3 linked regions of the Caenorhabditis elegans genome follow. The protein of the gene in region 1 interacts with the protein of each later gene in a pairwise test. Each region holds a gene or a part of one and is shown on either strand. Other genes may lie near its edges.

Region 1 (8,721 bases):
TTTTACCTTGTTTCAATTATTTTCATGGGGGAAGGACGTTTTTAAATAATTTTCTTTTGAAACTAGTTTTTTAGTTACCACTTTTTCATCTTACCCTTTAATGCTTAACGTTGGCCATCCAACTTACCGTTTTTCTTCTATTAGTATTGCACCCGACTATTTAACTTTGAAACGTTATATCTTGGTTCATTTTAATGATATCAATATATTGTTAACCAAGAAATTATAGAAAACGAGCTAACAAATATTTTGTTAGTTGACAATTTTTAAATAGAACTAACTATAACTGAGATATAAGCTGTCAAAGTTGAACAATTGGGGGGGGGGGGGGAATACTAATACGGTAAACTAAATATTATGCTCCTCAAATAGTAACATCCCTTATAGTAATAGGATTTGATAAGTAAGTAAATACCGTATTAACTCTTTTGTTGGTCTATTGAAAATTGCAAAATTTCATAAAAAACCTAAACATTTTCAAATTCCATCTAAATATTTTTTTTTGTTCTGTTATTTTCCTCCAATACGAGACAAAACCTAACCTTGAACCCCCAAAGTGGAACCGTTTCTACTCTGTTCTTTTGCCAGTTGAAGGTGATGTTTTTGTCAAAATATAAGGGTAACCTTCAACAATTTTCTTTCATGTGAAAAATGAAAGACATTTGAAACGGTCAATTGAGTAAGGTGGAGGAGACTCTGCCCCCACAAGAGTGCCCCCACAAGAGTGGGGGAGAAATAAGAAATAATAAAATAAGTAGGCAAGCGTAGGTGGGGGGGGGGGGAGGGGAATACTGTAATTCTGATCGGAGAATATTTAAAATTGTGGCAACCACATTAAAAACCGATAATAACTTATAATAGGACAAAAATAATTTGGAATATACCGTATTTCCTCTTTTAGTTTTGCACCCCTTTGCTCAACTTTGACAGCTCATATCTCATTTTGTTTTGAACATATAAATAATTAACAAACTACAAACTATAGAAAAACATCTCACAAAAATTTTATCAGTTGACAACTTTTCTATGGAACAAAGAACTACTGAGATATGAGCTGTCAAAGTTGAGCAAGCGGGTGCAAAACTAATAGAGGAAATACGGTATGTATCGTAAACTTCTGTATATACATACTTCCCTGTTAGTGTTGCATGTATCAGGGTTGGGCGGTAAATAATTTTTCCGCCAAATTGGCGAATTGCCGGAATTGAAATTTTCAGCAAGTCGGTAAACCGGCAAATTGCCGATTTGCCGCATTTTCCAGAAAAACGGCAATTGTCGGACAGATTGTGGTTTTGCATTTTTTTTTTGTTCGAAATTTCGTGTTTCACTATCAGTCTCATAAAAAAGCCCTCTAAAAACTTCCGGCAAATCGGAAATTTGCCGAAAATCGAAAATTCCGGAATATCAGCAAACCGGCAGTTTGCCGCCCACCAATACTAGTTCTAAATGAATATTTTTTAGAGCAAACGGGCTTTTTCTCACCAATTTTTTCGTTTTAAGACAGTTCTCGATATGAGTTTAACTAACTAAAAATCACAAAATTTACAAAAAAAATTATTATAACTCACATTTTTTAAAAATCATGCAGAGCGCTAAAAATACCAAAAATCATACTAAAACATTTCAAAAAAATGTAGACATTTTTTCGAAGAATCTGCAGCATGTATGAATATTTCAAAAATAATTAAAGCATAAAACTGGAATCAGAACTTTTTTTTTAACTCAAAATGAAAAATGTTCCGAAATTATATTAATAGCTTTACTATGATATTTGTTCATTTTAGGCCGTACTCCACCTTGTATGCAGGCACATTAATATTTATAATAAGAGAAAAATAAACCCTCCGCATTTGAATTAACACATCCTACCTATTTTTACCTGAACCATCAAACTTTGTATATTATACTCTGCCCTTAAACCCTTGCTGCAAAAAATGGAAAAGAAATCAAAAATCAAAGTATCCTTTATCATTTTAAAATTTTTCACAGAAATCTTTATCATCATCTGATCGAGATTTTCTGGTCAAAAACAAAAACGAATGACGTCATTCCTCTCTCAAGTGTACAGTAACCAAGTGGCCGGCTATTTTAAAAACTCGTTTTGTGTGTTTCTTCAAAACTTGGTGTCACTTCCTATCAAAACATCGGGAGATCATTTTTTGTTCATTTTCCTACACCGCGCGGAAGAGTCGTGAATGCCAACCTGTCAAAAATGTTTAATGCTCCGCGAGAGAAAGTGAGCCGCTTCTCTAATTCTCCTATTGTGCGCATTGATCTCTTCTCTTTTTTTTGTTTTTGTCTTTTACTCGAATATCTAATCAAGAATCATTTACAGATGACCAAACTAGGCGCACAGCCCGGCGTTCACGGGAGTGAGGACGTTGAGAAGGAGTCTATCAAGATCGATCCAAAAGTGAGTTTCTATTAAAAATATTCAAATTTTCTGAGAACTGTTTTTAGTGCGAAGTTCAAATTTTCTCATAAAAAAATTTCAGCTGGAAATTCGAATTTTTTTTAAGAGATCACGTTTTGGCGCGAATTACAAATTTTATGAGTAACAAGTCGTAGTGTCAGAGTGTCCCATTTCGGCTTGATCTACATAGATCTACAAAAAATGCGGGATTTCAGACGCAGGCTTCTCAGCTGATTTCGCATGGTTAAGAACATGGCTGACGTCATGTTTTTTGGGCAAAAAAGTTCCTGCATTTTTTGTAGATCAAACCGTGATGGGGCAGCCCGGCACCACGTGTAAAAACAGTTTGCCTCGAAATTCAAAATTTTTCACAAAAAAATTTTAGCTGGAAAATCAAATTTTCTGAGAAAACGTATATTGGCGCGAAGTTCAAATTTTATTAGAAATTTTTTTGGCGCTAATTTAAAGTTTTATGAGAAAATACATTTGACTCGAAATTCAAACTTTATGAGAAAACGTATTTTGCCGCGAAATTTAAATTATCCGAGAATAATTTTTGGCGCGAAATTCAAATTTTCTGAGAACATTTTTTGGCGCGAAATTCAAATTTTCTCACAAAGAATATATTCGGTAACAATAATAATAATAACGTTAGTAGAAATATCAACAAAATCTGAATTATTCCAGGTGTTCACAGTCCTCCAGCCCACAGTGATCCCAATGCCGGCTCCACCAATGAAGCCTGCTCCATCGCCAGCTTTCCAGGCGATGAGAGCATGCTTCCATTGCATGTTCTTTGCCACGTGTCTTTTGCTGGTGACACTCATCGGTTTCTACTTCCTCGCCGCTACTCCTGATCTCTTCAAGGTACAGGGTTTTTTTTTAATTTTAAGCTTTTTTAAACTTAATTAATTGATATTCCAGAAAACCGAAACATCCGTGAACAAGCCACAAATGGAGGCACTTCTAGCTCAACCAATTGATGGATCATCTGAAAAGACTATAAACTCTGCGGAAAATCCAGGAATGATGGCAATTCCCTTGGCTCGGGTAGTTGTAGTGGAGGATATTTCGAATAATGAAGGTCAAAAGAAGACAACTGTTGATGGATCAGTTGAGGAGAAGTCCTCTACCAATTTGGATCGCCCACTTCATCCAGATGAGATTGAGGTTAGTTACCAAATTATACCATATATATACATAAATATGGATTTGTATATATATATATATATAAATATATATATATATATATATATATATATATATATATATATATATATATATATATATATATATATGCATATGTAGGGCTTCCATAGACAGGCGCGGTTCCAGGGCCTGCCTGAAGGGAATGCCTACCCGCCTCAAGCCAGCTAAACTGCTTTAAAAATTTTAGGCCATTTTTTGAGCTGCCATAACTTTTTTTTCAAGAGGTTTTTAAGAAGTTTCATTAAGAAATTCGATATTTTCAGACAATTTTGAGTCTAATAAATCAATAAAAGCAATTTTTTCAGCAATACCGAATGATGGAGGCCCGCCAACAATTCCAACAAATAATGGAGGAACGTATGTACATGCAACAAATGATGGCAATGCGAATGATGAGAATGAGAAGACTTCAAGCCGCCTACTACCAACAACAACAAATGAAGATGGCCTACATGCAACAACAACAGCAACAGATGCAGGAAGAGGCCGCCCGTCAGCAATGGGCCGAGAGATCCCGCTATGAAGAGGAACAACGTCGTCAGTACGAGGCTCAACAGACCTATGCTCAACAGCAGCGTGCTCAAGCTTTCTGGCAACAACATCAGTTGGAGATGCAGGCTCAGACTCAGCAGGCTCAGGCCCAGGCCCAATGGCAACAGCAGGAGCAACAGCCACAGGAGCAGCAGAGACAGAGATTCTGGCCAAGACCAATGATGCATCAGCAACAATGGGAGAGACCAACTGTCTGGCAGGTAAGGCGATTTGTAGATTTTTAGATGATGGGCTACGAATTTTTTGGCATTTGGATTTTAGACACATTTTCCATTTTGAAAAATTTGAATTTTTGCTTTTTTTTTTCATAATTTTTTTCAAAAAACTTCGAAAATTTTTCGTCGTATTTGGATCAGGGGTGGGCGGCAATTGCAGTTCGGCAAATTTTTTTTGAGTAAATTGGCAACTGAAAATCGGCAATTTGCCGGTTAGCCGATTTGCCGGAAACTTTTGATTCCGGCAACTTGTCGGTTTTCCGGGAATTTCCAATTCCGGTAATTTGCCGATTCGCCTGAAATTTTCAATTCCGACAGTTTTCCGATTTGCCTGAAATTATCAATTCCGGCATTTTGCAGATTTGCCGGAAATTGTAAATTTTGGCAATTTGCCGATTTGCCGGAAATGTTCAATTCCGGCAATTTTTAGATTTGCCTGAAATTATGAATTCCGGCAGTTCGCCGGTTTGCCGGAAATTTTCCATTCCGGCAGTTTGTCGATTTGCCGGAAATTTTCAATTCCGGAAATTTGTCAATTTGCATGAAATTTTTAATTCCGGCAATTTGCCTGAAATTATCAATTCCGGCAGTTTGTCGATTTGCCGGAAATTTTTAATATCGGCAATTTGCTGATGTGCCGGAAGTTATCAATTCCTGCAATTTGCCGATTTGCCTGAAATTTTCAATTCCGGCAGTTTGTCGACTTGCCGGAAATTTCAGTTCCGGCACTTCGCCGGTGTGCCGGAAAATCTTAATTCCGGCAACTTGCCGATAAGCCAGAGATTGTGAATTCCGGCAATTCGCCGGCTTGCCGAAAAAAATCGTTTGCCGCCCACCTCTGTTTTTTGCTTAGTTTTCGGGATCTGAAACCGATAAAAATTTTCACTATTTTTTTTGTCAAAAAACCATCAAAAAAATTCCAGCAACCACCCCAACAATTCTTCTTCCCATCCCAACAACAACAGCAGCATCAGCAGCAACCACAACAGACCCAACAACCTGAGGACCGTTTCCCACAGGCTCCACAATTCTTCCAACCAATCCCACAACCATCAGTTCACGATAAGATCTACGAGGAACTTCAGAAGAAGTCGCAGAACATTCCAGTCAACGCACCAACTCGTCAAATCTGTTAGTTGTTTTTTTTGCAAAAAGCCCAAAAATTTCAATTAATCTTGTATCAGGGACAGCAATCACTCCAACTCCAGCTCCAGAAGCTGCATCTGGAACTGCTGACGTCACAGCTTCACCCATCAACACTGCATTCCCAGCAGTTGTCACGAGCAGCACACCAATGCCAGAGGATGCCGCTGAGGTTTCTGATACTATTCTCAGAGATATCTTCTCAGCTTTCGATGAGCAAAAGAATTCAGAGGTTTGTACATCAGGAACATGTTGGTTCGGCAAATCGGCAAATCGGCGAATCGCCGGTTTACCAATTTGCTGCCGATTTGCCGGAAATTTTGCCGATTTGCCGGAAATTTTCATTTTCGGCACTTTGCCAGTTTGCCGATTTGCAGGAAATTTTCTATTTCGGCAACTTGCCGGTTTGCCAATTTGCCGAAAATTTTCAATTCCGGCAATTTGCCAATTTGCCGGAAGTTTGAGTTCCGGCAATCTGTCGATTTTCCGATTGACCGGAAATTACAATACCGGCAGTTTGCCAATTTTCCGGAAATTTTCATTTTCGGCACTTTGCCAGTTTGCCGATTTGCAGGAAATTTTCTATTTCGGCAATTTGTCAAAAATTTAAGTTCAGGCAATTTGCGGATCTGGTTCCAGCAGTTTGCCGATTTGCCAAAAGTTTTAATTCGGGCAATTCACCTATTTGCCGAAAATTTCAATTCCGGCTCTCTGCCGGTTTGCCGAGTTGCCGGATATCAATTTGCCGGAAGTGTTTAGAAAGATTGTTTATTTATATATAGTCGGCACGGTACAATTTTGCCGACTAATATTGTAATTCTGAAGTTCTGAAATTGCCAAAAAAAAGTGCAAAACCACAATTTGCCGGAATTAAAATTTCTGGCAAATCGGCAAACCGGCAAAAATTTGAATTTCAAAAAGGCAAGTGTTTCCGTCTTATAAAAAATTTCTCTAAAAATTTCCGGCAAATTGATGTTCGGTAAACGGCAAATCAGCAATTTTCCGAAAATCAAAATTTCCGGCAAATTGACAAACCGGCAATTTGCCAAATTTGCCGAACGGCAATTTCCGGCCCACCCCTGTTTTGTGCTCACTGAGGCATAATGAGTAATATTCCAGGCGGCCAACAAAGAGCTCAACTCAGCCACCCCATCAACCACCGAAGAGCCAGAACTCGAAGGAAAGGGAGCAATTGTGATTGAGGACAGCTTCCCAAGAATCGAAGAACGCACCACAACACCTGAACCAATGGAATCTGAAGAAGATGCTGAACATACATCATCTGAAGATAATCATGAGAAGGAGTTGGATCCATTCGCAGCTGTTCTCAAATTCTTCGAGAACAATCCACCACGTGAGGCTCTCGAGGCAGCAGGGGCTGAGACAGCAGCAACCACTCAGAAACCATTGAAACCACTGATTGTTTGAGAATTTTAATTTTGAGCTGAGCTAAAAAAAAATAATTTTCGAATGTAATAATTGTTATACAATTCGTCCTCCCCCGATTATTTTCCATCATCATCATCATCCCATCTTTTACGCGTGCAGGTTTGTAAATAAAATTATTCGCTGTTGAATTTGTATTTGCAAATCAAGAAAAAAAAAGTATTTATTTCAGAACGTGTGGTGTCAGAGTGTCCCATGTTGGTTTGATCTACGTAGATCTACAAAAAATGCGGCAGAGTTCTCAACTGATTTCGCATGGTTAAGAACGTGCTGACGTCACACTTTTTTTGGCAAAAAATTGCCGCATTTTTTGTAGATCAAACCGTGGTGGGACAGCCTGGCACCACGTGTTTCCAAGGAACTTTCAAAACTTCATCACATTTGTTAAATCCGACTGTCTAACCAGCATCCCATTCTCGATTCGTTTTGCATAGACGTAACATCGATTGATTAGAATGAATTTGATTATTGATACTGAAAAATTTTTAAACAATTTTTCGCTTTAAATTACAGAATATACGCCTAGAATATATGACCAAATATGACTGTGAAAATTTTTTCAAAAATGTCCTAAACTTTTAGTGAATTTTTACATATTTCAAAATTCATAGAAACGACCGAATTAAATTTGAAACATTTGAATTCCCGCGCAAATGAGTGACGTCATTTTCGATATTTTGGCAAATCGGCAAAATGGCGAAATTGAAATTTCCGGCAAATCGGCAAAATGGCGATATTGAAATTTCCGGCAAATCGGGAAAAGGGCGAAATTGAAATTTCTGGCAAATTGCCGGAATTGAACTTTCCCGAAAATTGTCAAGTTGCCGATGTTGAAATTTCCGGCAAATCTGTAAATTGCCGGAATTGAAATTTCCGGCAAATCGGCAAAATGGCGAAATTGAAATTTCCGGCAAATCGGCAAAATGGCGAAATTGAAATTTCCGGCAAATCGGGAAAAGGGCGAAATTGAACTTTCCCGAAAATTGTCAAGTTGCCGATGTTGAAATTTCCGGCAAATCTGTAAATTGCCGGAATTGAAATTTCCGGCAAATCGGCAAAATGGCGAAATTGAAATTTCCGGCAAATCGGCAAAATGGCGAAATTGAAATTTCCGGCAAATCGGGAAAAGGGCGAAATTGAACTTTCCCGAAAATTGTCAAGTTGCCGATGTTGAAATTTCCGGCAAATCTGTAAATTTCCGGAATTGAAATTTCCGGCAAATCGGGAAAAGGGCGAAATTTAAATTTCCGGCAAATCGGCAAAATGGCGAAATTTAAATTTCCGGCAAATCGGCAAAATGGCGAAATTGAAATTTCCGGCAAATCGGCAAAATGGCGAAATTTAAATTTCCGGCAAATCGGGAAAAGGGCGAAATTGAAATTTCTGGCAAATTGCCGGAATTGAACTTTCCCGAAAATTGTCAAGTTGCCGATGTTGAAATTTCCGGCAAATCTGTAAATTGCCGGAATTGAAATTTCCGGCAAATCGGCAAATCACCGGAATTTTCTGGCAAATCTGCAAAAGAAAAATAAATAAAACCAGAAGAGTTTAGCCAGAAAAAGCGAAAATATCGAAAATGACGTCACGTATTTGCGCGGGAATTCGAAAAAAATCATTTGAAAAATTAGGATTTTTTATTTATTTTTACAATTATATCGGACATTAGGGGTTTTTCAGTCATTTAAAAATAATAGCGAAAAATTTTCTGACTCTACTCCGCCTTTGAATAAAAATTAAAAGATT
Region 2 (4,905 bases), 3.8 Mb from region 1:
ATGCCTACCTCAAACCTTCCTGTCTCATACCTGTCTACTCCATGCCTACCTACATGTTCTAGAAGCTCAAGCCAACTCACCGGAAAGTTGCAAGTAATTACATAGTTCGCATGTGAACTTTCCAATTCTTCTCCTAATCCCTTTTTTAGACCTTTTAGCAAACTTGCTTCTTCATTCTTTATCTTGCTTTCAGTAAACATTTGTTGACGAAGAAGATCTTCAATTATATTTCTTTCTTGTTCATTTGCCTGTTCAGAATCATTTAATGAGAAACTTGATGATCCTGAAGTTTGATCTAGTATCTCTTCAGACTCATCTAAAACTTCTTTCTTTGGAACTTTCAACGCGCTTGATGGATCCGATGGAATGTCTGATGATGTTCCGGGAATATCTAAATTTGCAGTGGGATCCCAGTCATCAAATAATCCTTTTAGAACCTGAATTAGTTTTTAATAAACCAATAAATTCCCAATTTTTCCAACTTACAGATGCTGGTCTCTTTCCTCTGCTCATCGCATCTGAATCTCGTGGCTTCAAACCCAGAGTATCGACTAAATTCAATGGTTGAGCAAATCCAAGTTCAGCGGAAATGCTTTTAAATGGTTTTTTGAGAACATTTTGTGATTGTGCAGATATAGATTCTAGACATTTTGGAGATGAAACTAGTTGTGGGGCACATGAGGTTGGTGGAGTTGCCGGTTTTTGAATTTTCTGTGCAGGAGGATGAATTGGAACTTCTGTCACCCACGAATCCGGACAACCAATCGTTTTCTTTAAATATATTTTATTTGGAGGTTTCATTAAATGCAATTTACCAAAAAGTTGACTCAAAATTTATAAACAATTTGAAATTTTAACGTGTTTTCGCTTTTCTAGGCAATTGTAGTGCCTTGGTGCTTTGATTAGTTCAGTTTGTGGAACATCAAAGTGAGTAAGTAGTTTGAGCCACTGGGGATTTTGTAAACACATTAGCTTAAAAGTACTATTCCTAATTTAGAGTTGTTTCCTACAGTAATATCATTCCAAAATTACAATTTTATAAAATACAGTATTTATGATTTTTGATCGACCATTACATAAAGAATAACCTGTCATATTATTTTTATTGCCAAAATAATTATTACTCAAGTTTTTCTAATCTCGGGAATATTTATATAATTAGAAGCTAAATGTTGCCAAAAGCTTGACCTACCAAAATAGATTGCAAATCGAGTCCTCGCATTTTGAGAACTTCCAAAGTTTGATTGTAGATGTTAACTTGAATATAAGTTGACATTTTTCAGTAAATACCAACTTGTCGAGTTGCAAAGCAGGAATGAATCAATGACACAGCTGGGCAGACCACAAAGTAAGAGACTCGAAACGCAGACGGTTCTAAGCAGCGCCGACTCACTCCTTCTTTTGCATTATATCTTGTGTCTCACTCGTGCGTTCTTGCCCTGTGTGTTTTCGCTCTCTGCATTTTTCTCTCTATTTTGTAGTTTGCGTTGGACGCCGAAATGTAGTCATGTTGTAGACTACAACATATAAGTGGAGGAATATTTATCAGATTACCGGGATGGTAAAACAATTTCAGAGGGGAAGAGGATACGAATAAGTTAAAATAAAATGAGATAGATACTGCAATAATTAATCCTCACGAAGTGGCAGGAACTTTACGACGACTGGCTTTCCGGCTTCAGCGATGACCAAGTGAATTTTGTCTCCAGTAGAGATTTCACGCTCAGCAGCACCACGGAACGAATCCTAGAAAAAATAAATGAATTAGGTTAAAATTACGAAATTCAATTATACCTTCATCAATGAGATGGCTCTGTCCAATGTGAGTTCCGGACGCTCATATCCTTCAGAGAGCGTAACGTGCCCGATTTGACAATCCAAGAATGGAATGATCATTGGTTCAGCGGCTCCACTGGCTGAGTATCCAAGACGCTCGATACATCCGATTGGGTCGTAACTGAACACGGCCCCTTTTCCGTGCTCGTCAATTCCGGCAAGAATAGCTCCAGTGTAGTATGGGAAGAACCGACGGTAATAGAGGTTGCGGGAGAGAAGTTCTGCGCAAAGATCCACAGACATGTCAGAGCGATAATCGAAGCGGTACTTGTGGAGACGAGATTGGAGAACTTTCTTCAATTGGAGGACATCTCCATAGAATCCAGAGGTGGTGAGGATGATGTTATCATTCCTGAATTAAGAATTATTATTAAAACAAAGACAAATACTGGCTTACAAAATTTGAATCTTCTCTGCGTCACGTGTAAGAATGTTGATGTCGTTTTGGGTCATTCTAGTATCACTTGCCACGATGGCAAAGTTCTCCCCAGAAATGGCACAGGTTGATCCTCCCTCCATTGAATACGGGTTCCAGCGTTGACGCTCAATTTGTCTGGAACTCATCCACTCTGGATGAGCTGCAACTTCCTTCATTGCCTGCTTGAACATTGCCATTTCATTGGTGGCGTTGGCGACAGCCGTGATTCCAGTGAAGCTTGTCATCTGAAAAAGGCGTATACTTATTTAGTTGAAACAATATAAATATTCAATATGACAAAATTCAATTAATACAGAAAACAAATGCTCGAAATTTGAGAATTCAACATAACAGGAAATGCTGACAATGAGAGACATCGTCATTTACAATGTTTAGTCCGCAGTTTTCTGCGCGTTCAAATGCACATCGCACATCGAACTATACGACACTTTGCTGAAATTTATTGAAACGCGTTTTCCTCTCTTTTTTGAATGAAAATTCATTTTTCCAAGGTATTTTTGAGGACAATTCATCGCTTTATCTACATTTCTGATTAAAATTTTTGTGATTTCTTTTTTTCAATAATTGATATTTCAGATGGCAGATTTCACAGAGCAAACTTTGCGACAGAAGTTAACAAATTTATCAAACCACCCTTCCTCAATTCAGACGACTTCTGCCTGGCTTTTGCAAAATCATAGCAATCGGGAATTGATCATTCGAGTTTGGCTAAAGGTATTTTATTCATATTGTATCATTTTTTAGTGTTGTATTTCAGACAGTAAAGAAAGAAACACACGGCTCAAAAATTGTAAATCTTCTTTATGTGGCGAATGATGTAAGCCAAAATGCGAGAAAGACTTGCCCACAATTCAAGGACGAATTTTTTCCCGCAATAGAAAGTTCTTTCAGGTATTGGCATTTTCAAACGTCTAATCTCAAAATTAATTTCAGGCATGCAATCGAGTTGAAAAATGCAAAAGAAGTGGAACATGCAATTGGTAAACTGATCAATGTATGGAAAGATCGTCAGATATTCACTCCATCACAATGCAAACGGCTTCATGAAGTTCATCAACAAGTTAAGCTATCTGGAAGCTTCCCAACACCCGCAGTTGCGAACAAGGAACATGGAAAGGTGTGTGAATTTAATAAATTCCAAAAGAATGCCAAAATGAGCTTAAGGTCGCTCAACCTAGTCAGTTCGTCGTTGAAGAAGCGAAAAAGAATGCACAAGATGTTTTGCTCAGTTTGAAGCGCCTTCAAAACCCGCCGAGCACGGAAAGAGAAATTCGCACAGAACTTTCAAAATATCCGGATAATATTTCGTGCCCAGAAAAGTTGCAGTCAGTTCGAAGTTCGCAAGAAGCACAGTCTCTGTTGGTCCAAAATGAAGAAGCTCTTCCGATGCTGGAGGAATATGTTAAAAGGTTTGATTGAAACTTTTGTGAATTGATTTTGTACATTAACTTATGCTTTCAGGCTGAAAAACGAGACAAATGAACGCGAAACTCTCGAATCGAACTTGAATATGCTTATAGAAAATGTTAGAATGAGCATTGAACATCACGAGAAATTGTGCAGAGAAGTTAAGCGTAGAGAAGATCGAATCAAGGCAGATTTGTTAGAGGTTTGAAAACTAGAAAATCAGTTTTTGCAGACTTGAATTGAATTTCAGGTTGAAAAAACATTCGAATCGTTGCCAGATTTGGCTGCTGAGATGCCAAATGCACCATTGCCAACACTTGAAGCTTTGTTCGAGAAGAGGAAAAAATAAGTATCATACTACGTCATAATTATAACTTTACGATCTCAGTAGCTTTTACTGTACCCCCATTGTTGTATAATTTTTGTTCACTTTGATCTTTTACAATCGTGATCACCATTACCACATAAGTGCTTTATACGTTTTTCTTCTGAACCACCTTAAATGAATTTATTTTTTCTAAAATTCAAGTTAGTTCTATTATCTGAAAACGGTTCTTAACCAGTGTTTATCTCTGAAAGTTTGAAATTAATTGTTTAAAAGCTGATATTTTACAGATGGGTATTCTGGAGAAAATTGCAGAAATCGAACATGAAATTTCAAGAACCCAAAAGAATAAAGCCACTGAATACCATTTGGGTCTTCTAAAAGCAAAGTTGGCAAAATATCGTCAACAATTGTTAGAACCAACAGGCAAAGGAGGTGCCAAAGGAGAAGGATTCGATGTAATGAAAAGTGGAGATGCGAGAGTTGCAATGGTTGGATTTCCTTCCGTCGGAAAATCGACTCTATTGTCCTCAATGACTTCCACTCACTCAGAAGCTGCTGGATATGAATTCACAACTCTTACGTGCATTCCTGGTGTCATCTCTTACAACGGAGCCAATATTCAATTGCTCGATCTTCCTGGAATCATTGAAGGAGCTTCTCAGGGAAAAGGAAGAGGAAGACAGGTTATCTCAGTTGCAAAAACTGCAGATTTAATTCTTATGATGCTTGATGCAGGAAAGAGTGACCAACAGAAGATGCTTTTGGAGCGAGAATTAGAAGCTGTTGGTATTCGATTAAACAAAAAGCCACCAAATATCTATGTCAAACAAAAGAAAGTTGGAGGCGTGAAATTCACAAATACTGTTCCGTTAACTCATTGTAATGAGAAATTGAT
Region 3 (6,463 bases), 1.7 Mb from region 1:
AGAAGATTTTTTTAAAATTTTTATCGATTTTTATCAACCAACCATATATCATGTCCCGCATACTGTAGTTGTAATTGTCTTTTTCGTTAGACTTTTCAATTTTTGAATCTATATATATATATAAATATGAACAGTTGATAAATTAAAGTAAATACACGAAGAAATTAGCAAGAGTGACTGAACAAAACGGGTGGTCCGCACAAAAATTCAAATGTGTAGTAGAATGGCGGGAAGGGGGGCAATGGTGTTGGGCCAAGTGAGCGGGGCGGGTCTGTGGGGGGCTAACCTTGAATGCCAGGCAGTTCCTCTCACACAGACACACACACACACACCAACCAACTAACACCGATGAAGAAGTGAGACGCAGACACAAGACTGGGCAGAATAGGAGAGACGCAGCGTGACACAGACAGCCTCCCTTTTTTAGGAACGAATAAATGAGTGAACCACGTCTAAGAAATGACCTTTTTTGGATTTGGAGTGCAAGTTCAGAGCACTGGGGGATTCTGAGTCAGACAGGATATTCTCAATGTGGTGCGCCTTGGAGAGATCGAAAAGCTTAATTGGATTTTTTTCCCAAAAAGATTAAAAAACAAAATTACACCTATTAAAGACATATCCGTTCAAAATATCGAAAAACAAGTGTCTAGAAGTAGATAAAATTTAAATTCGGACCATTTTGAGTGTGTAGAGATCAGAAAATATATTTGACGAAAAAGAACGGGAGAAGTCTAGCTCACTAGGTGGAGCGAGAAATCTTGTGAAGAACTTTTTTAGGCCAAGTCGGGGAATATTAAAGAAAAATAGACTAAATCAATTTAAAAATGAATAGGACGAAAAACTAAAAATGTAGGACATTCCATTTTAGCGGAATTAATATAGTCCAAAGGAGCACAAAATGTAGTCTAAGCACATACTCTCTACTTATTTCTAGATCTGAGCTGAAATCTAATTAATTCCACCTTTACGTATTCGCTGTTGCCATTATCTCCCTTTTTTCCATTTCACTCAAAAATTGCGTCACTAGCAATATAATCTGTGTATATGCGTTTTTCGACATATCTAGTGTTATGTTCGTCATAACGTGAATTTGTGTGTATGTGATCAACGGAGTTCACATGTTTGAGCGTCATAAATGAATCGTTAGTGAATTTCAGATTGATAAAGATATATCGAATAAAGATTAACTAAGTAGTGTTTAACTGGTTTTCATACTAAATTTCAGAAAAGAAAATAGGCATTTTTTATATATAATTTTCCGTTATTCAAAAAAAAATTAAAAGGAAGAATCGTTTTTCTATCAAGTAATTAATTGTTAAACGAACAATTTATAGGCCAATTTTTATTTCTACGCGGAAAAATGTCTGAAAAATTGACAATTAGTGTTCCAATTTAAATGGCAAAGAGTAAGAGCATCATAAAAATTTTTTTCACAATATTTTTTTTTGGAAATGATAGAAAATTCAGAACATTAAAAAAAACGGGTTTATTCGGAAAAAATGGCTCAAAAAAGCCGAACTTGATCTCTTTTTTAGTCATCATATTTCGCAATAAATGTCTTTCAGATTTCTGTTAGAAAATCGTAGTAGTTCTGAGAAGTGAGTCACGGTGAACTGAGAAAATTCTAAGAATTCCAGAATAAAAAAAACACCCCGAAGCTGATGACGGAGAGTAACAACAACAAAAAACATGTGCTTTAACAGAGAAAGCAGTCTTTTCTAGAAAGAGCGGAGTGTGTTCTTTGTAGGTCATTCAGGGGAGACAAGGACATTACGGTAGAGGAGATGGAAAATAAAGTAGTAGAAGGACTTGTGCACTTTGACAGGCAGCAACTGATTAAATTTGTAAAGACCGGCTAACAGAACTACACGTGAACTTTGAGATATTAAAAAGTAAACAAAAAGGGAAATGGTTCGAAAGTTTGTTAACAAATCAAGAAAATAGATTTTTACAAATATCATGATTCAAAAAAATTTTGTTGGGAATTTTGGTTTTTACAGAAAAATTTGAAACTATTGTTAAAATTAGTTTTTAGTTTTAAAAACCAGATTTTTGAGGCTTGAAAATTTTTCCCAATATTTTTTTTTATCTTTCAAAAATTTCATAAGTTAACTTTTAAAAAAAGGGAAATTGTTCCGTTCATTTTTTAATGTTTTTTTCCGGATTTTCGGTAATTATTTTTTAATTTTTTGTTTTCGTGAAAAAAAATCGGTCGACTCACCAACTAATTGCTGATGATGATGGTGAGCCTGCTGTTGCTGCTGCTGTTGAACCAAATTCTGAAGATGGTGGTGCAGAGCAAAGTGTGGTGGTTGTTGTATTACTGAAAAATTAAAAAAAACATTACTTTTTTATTGAAAAAAAAAACAATTTTCAACGTTTAAAACATTATTTAACAAACCGTCAGATCGTGGCACAACTGCTGAATAGTGTGGTTGTGCCGCTTGCGGCTGATGATGATTGTGATGGGTGGCGGCAGCGACGAGCTGGTACTGTACCGATGGGTGAAGCTGCTGGTGATGTTGATGGTGAGCGGCGACGGCGGCCAGCTGGTGTTCCGGTATTATTGGGATTGCTGAAACAATTCTTGATTAATTATTGAGTTTTTCGGAAAATCCTCTGAAATTGGCTAAAAATTAGACAATTTCATGTGAATTATATGAAGAGGTACTGAAAATTGTTGAAACTTTGTTTTTTTTAATGATAAATTTTACACATTTTTTAGCTAACAAAGCGAAGAAATTGAGCAGAAAAACAAAAATTCGAAACGAAAAAACAAAAACTTTTTTAGAATTTCTCCGATCGTGACGAGACCTACTGCAAGAGACAGTTTGGGCGCCTTTAAATCTTACAGTACTGAACTATTTGAAAATTCGTGTTTCGGGAGCAAACAATGGGGTTTGGAAATTTCGGTTAGAATGAACATTTTAAAATAAAAAATTTGTTTCAATTAAATATTAAAAAAAGATATCTTAGGCACGAAAATCGAGAAAATATTATAAAATGTATGATTTCTCGAATCGTGGTGGAACCCAGTACGAAACTAAAGGTATGCTCCTTTAAAGTTTACAGTACTTTTAATTAATTTTCATTTTTCGATCAATAATTCAACGGTTAGGTTTAAAAATTAATTATCCATTTTCCAAACTAGTTTAATTGTTTAAAAAGAAAATTTGTAGACAAATTGAACTGGATTATAAAAGCAAATCAACTCTAATTCTAATACAAAGATTAGCGAGCGTTATTTTTTTCACATGAATGAGCGAAAATCTCAATTTCTTAGCTTATTAAAAAAAACAATAGGGTCTCCCAACGAATTCCACAAAGTTCGTGGCGAGACACACATTTCCGGACATGTAAAACTCAATTTGTTTTAATTTTTCCACAAAAACACACCCTGACTGAGAATCTGTTGCTGTCGGGATATAAGTGCGGCGTGTGCAGCTGCAAGATCGTAGAGCTCTGTAGATGACGAACTACAGCCGGATGAACTGCTTGATCCTGGAATTTCTGGACTTGAAAAAAAGAAAGAAAAAAGAAAGAAGAAAAAAGAACATGAAAAAGTGAGGCGGAACTAGTGTTATTCATTCATGACGAGAGAGGACGCCTTCTTTTTTTTTTGTTTTTTTTCTAGAGAATTCTGAAAAAAAGGAGGAAATAGATGAAGAAGGAAATAAAAGTTGTTCTCCTCTCGGAAAACGAAATTGTGCCAAATTTATCAAGCCAACAAAAAAATTTCCAACAAAAAAACCAAAAATGGTTTAATAACGAAATTTTTCAATGTATTATTTTCAGGAGAACTGCCTATTTAAAATATTTTATGATTGACAAATTTAAGCAATACAGAGGCTCATAATGAACATTTTTTGTAAACATGTGAAAATTTACTCGGGGAAAAGGCACCCGCAGAATTCGTCCTCCGTGTCTTTCTGAGACGAGTAGAAGGAAAGTGAATCGTCATCATCTTCTTCTTGTTCTCGAGAAATATAGAGATAGTACGCATCCTTCCCCCTTCCCCACGACACCATCACCACCCAACACCGTCTTCCTCAATACGCGTCTACGATTCATCTCGGATCTGTAGGCGAGTGAGCGAGCGCGCACGCACCCCTCCACTGTGTGTGTGCTAACAGGACTGAGAAGAGAGACCTCACTACCTGTCGCCACCAGGCCCCCGGTACCATGTACGTTGAGGGTGATGACCCCGACCTCCCCAAGGACCGTCCCTCGGGATTTCGAAATTTTTTATTACTCTGTTACTTTTGGGGAACGGGAAAATAACAAGAACTTCTGATATGTTCTGATATGAGGATATGTGTGCGCCATGTGAAAAATTAGTTATATAAATTGCTAGCATATATCATTATGAAGACTAACTTCAGAATATCACATTAGAATTAGTAGTGGTTCAGACTTTTTCTGAATTCCCGGAAAAAGTGTCCGGGAATTGAGCAGAAAAGTACACATTTTCTAAAACGAGGCTCCTCGAAAGATAAGGACAACTAATTTGGAAACACCTTATTCTGGTACTTTTGGGGGCGGGGAGAGGACAAGGGAGTAAAGTAAAGCTGGAAAACAAGTGCTAGCATACAGAATAATGCGAAAAATTTACAATTTCATTGGCAAAAAATGAGGAAATGCAAATATCGAGGAAAATTATAAAAGTTCGTGGTGATTTGAAATAAAAAACCACTAAAGTACCAAAAAATTTGCCGTGGCAATATGGCAAAACTTTCAACAAAAAGCATACTGTATATATGAGAACGTTGACTACAGCTGATCGCGAGTAGCAAACTATGAGATGCACAAAGAGCAAGAGAGACGAGAGAGTGTGTGGCAAGGAAAACGGCCACCCAGCAGCAGCAGCAGTAGACAGACCCCCCCCCCCCCGCGAATTCGAATATTATGTAGCAGTGGTCACTTTCTATTCGAGATAGTCGGGCGAGACACAGAGAGCACGACGGCGTAGAGAGTGGTCAAGGGTGTGGAGACGCAGAGAGATACGGAACGCACTCTCATACATCTGACTGACCACTCAAACGGACGCAGAAGACCGAAAAGCTGCGAAGAAGAAGAAGCAGAGATGTGCTCCCCTAAGAACCAACTACTACTATTACTACGATGTACCCCATCCCCGTTTCATTTGGAATTTAAAATTTTCAACAGGGGTGTCTGTTGTTTGGCATGCTGACAGTTGGAGCAAGGATGTCGTTTTTGGCAACAAAAAATCGAAACTCTGATTCTCCAGAATGTTTGTTTTCTCAATTTGTGGTGCCCCTAATCGGAACTTTCTCTAAAAGCCGGGAATCTGATTCTCCAAGTTTTATGTTCGAAATTTCTGAGCCAAAACTCAAACAAAAAACTTGGGAAGTCTGAAATTTTGTAAAACTCGAAGAAAAAATCTAACAGATCCGGTTCTACAGATGTTGTAGTTCCTTTACATTGTGGGCTCTATCTACAAAATCTGATTTTTTGTTTTTTATGAAATATTTCATATGAAATGAAAATTTGATCCGAAAATAAGAAGGAAAATTAGCAAATTTGATTCTTAAAAATTTGCAACTCACTAGACTTCGTAAAGTTTCTAATTCCCAAATTTTTCTGACAAATTATCGAAAAATAACACTGGTGAATCTGACCCTTCGATTTTTTTATTTCTCTATTTTTGTAGGGCTACGATATAAAAACCAGTTTTTTTCCGAATTTTGATGAAAATTTGCTGTGAACTCTAACTTCATACTTACTAGTTCGAACGAATAAAATTCCTGGAATCCTAAAAAGCATCAGAAAAGACAAATCTTGAAAGTTTCCGAGTGAAATAAAAAGTTCGAAGAAAAGCCATAACACACACACACCCACATACATATATATCCAGAAGACGGCTATATATGTGGTTGTTGTTGTTATTGGGCACACACGAGACATAGCAAAAGCAAGCAAGCAAAAAAAAAATAGAACGCCGCCGACTGCTTTGACGACTACTATACAAGGACGCGGAAAAGCAACTGCGAAGAAGAAAGTGAAAAAAAACAAATAAAAATTACGAAAAAGTTAAAGGAAAGTGATAAAAAATTGAACATTTTCTATTGGAAACCCAACGAATTTGAAGGAAGACATACCTCGAAGATTCAGATTCATGAGGTTATTGTTAACTTAATCATTTTAAAATAAAAAAGAGCTTTTAATTAATTTGTGTGACCAATTAGTTCATCTTGAATTTTTCTGAGAGGGGCTTAATTATCTATGCGTAAAATTTGGGCTTTCAAACGATTTTTTCCGGCAAATTGCCGGAATTGAACAAATCGGCAAGCCGGCGAATTACCGATTTGCCGAATTCGCCAAACATTTTCGGCATACTGTGGTTTCGCAATTATTTTTTTGGAAATTTCAGAATTTCAATTTCAAATGGCAAAATTAAACGCATCCTATGCATACTCCTACATCTATTTTGAAAAGTAAGCAA

Evidence for each region.
Region 2: the proteins of brp-1 (region 1) and pbs-6 interact in a two-hybrid assay, tested with the Caenorhabditis elegans proteins (3 studies listed by BioGRID).
Region 3: the proteins of brp-1 (region 1) and lit-1 interact in a two-hybrid assay, tested with the Caenorhabditis elegans proteins (2 studies listed by BioGRID, with this or other methods).

What each region holds. Positions count from the first base shown.
Region 1 is NC_003281.10:12,018,217-12,026,937, forward strand, and holds brp-1 (uncharacterized protein), read left to right. Parts: upstream 1-2,335; coding exon 2,336-2,413; intron 2,414-3,100; coding exon 3,101-3,280; intron 3,281-3,337; coding exon 3,338-3,583; intron 3,584-3,927; coding exon 3,928-4,374; intron 4,375-5,312; coding exon 5,313-5,520; intron 5,521-5,573; coding exon 5,574-5,764; intron 5,765-6,651; coding exon 6,652-6,960; 3' UTR 6,961-7,105; downstream 7,106-8,721. Other genes in the region: Y79H2A.12 (Serpentine Receptor, class BC (Class B-like)), read right to left, coding at 7,343-7,452.
Region 2 is NC_003281.10:8,241,594-8,246,498, forward strand, and holds pbs-6 (Proteasome subunit beta type-1), read right to left. Parts: upstream 2,500-4,905; coding exon 2,234-2,499; intron 2,189-2,233; coding exon 1,795-2,188; intron 1,747-1,794; coding exon 1,630-1,746; 3' UTR 1,529-1,629; downstream 1-1,528. Other genes in the region: Putative zinc finger protein C02F5.12, read right to left, coding at 81-437, 487-771, 1,193-1,276; cids-1 (CID domain-containing protein 1), read left to right, coding at 2,852-2,989, 3,033-3,166, 3,209-3,392, 3,440-3,684, 3,737-3,884, 3,933-4,031; putative GTP-binding protein C02F5.3, read left to right, coding at 4,298-4,905. UniProt on the Caenorhabditis elegans protein: Non-catalytic component of the proteasome, a multicatalytic proteinase complex which is characterized by its ability to cleave peptides with Arg, Phe, Tyr, Leu, and Glu adjacent to the leaving group at neutral or slightly basic pH.
Region 3 is NC_003281.10:13,711,610-13,718,072, reverse strand, and holds the start of lit-1 (Serine/threonine kinase NLK), read right to left. Parts: upstream 4,029-6,463; coding exon 3,889-4,028; intron 3,516-3,888; coding exon 3,397-3,515; intron 2,576-3,396; coding exon 2,402-2,575; intron 2,324-2,401; coding exon 2,222-2,323; intron 109-2,221; exon of another isoform or gene 62-108; coding exon of another isoform or gene 43-61; intron 1-42. UniProt on the Caenorhabditis elegans protein: Has a role in the Wnt signaling pathway controlling the asymmetry of cell divisions during embryogenesis. Operates in the AB and EMS cell lineages influencing cell specification.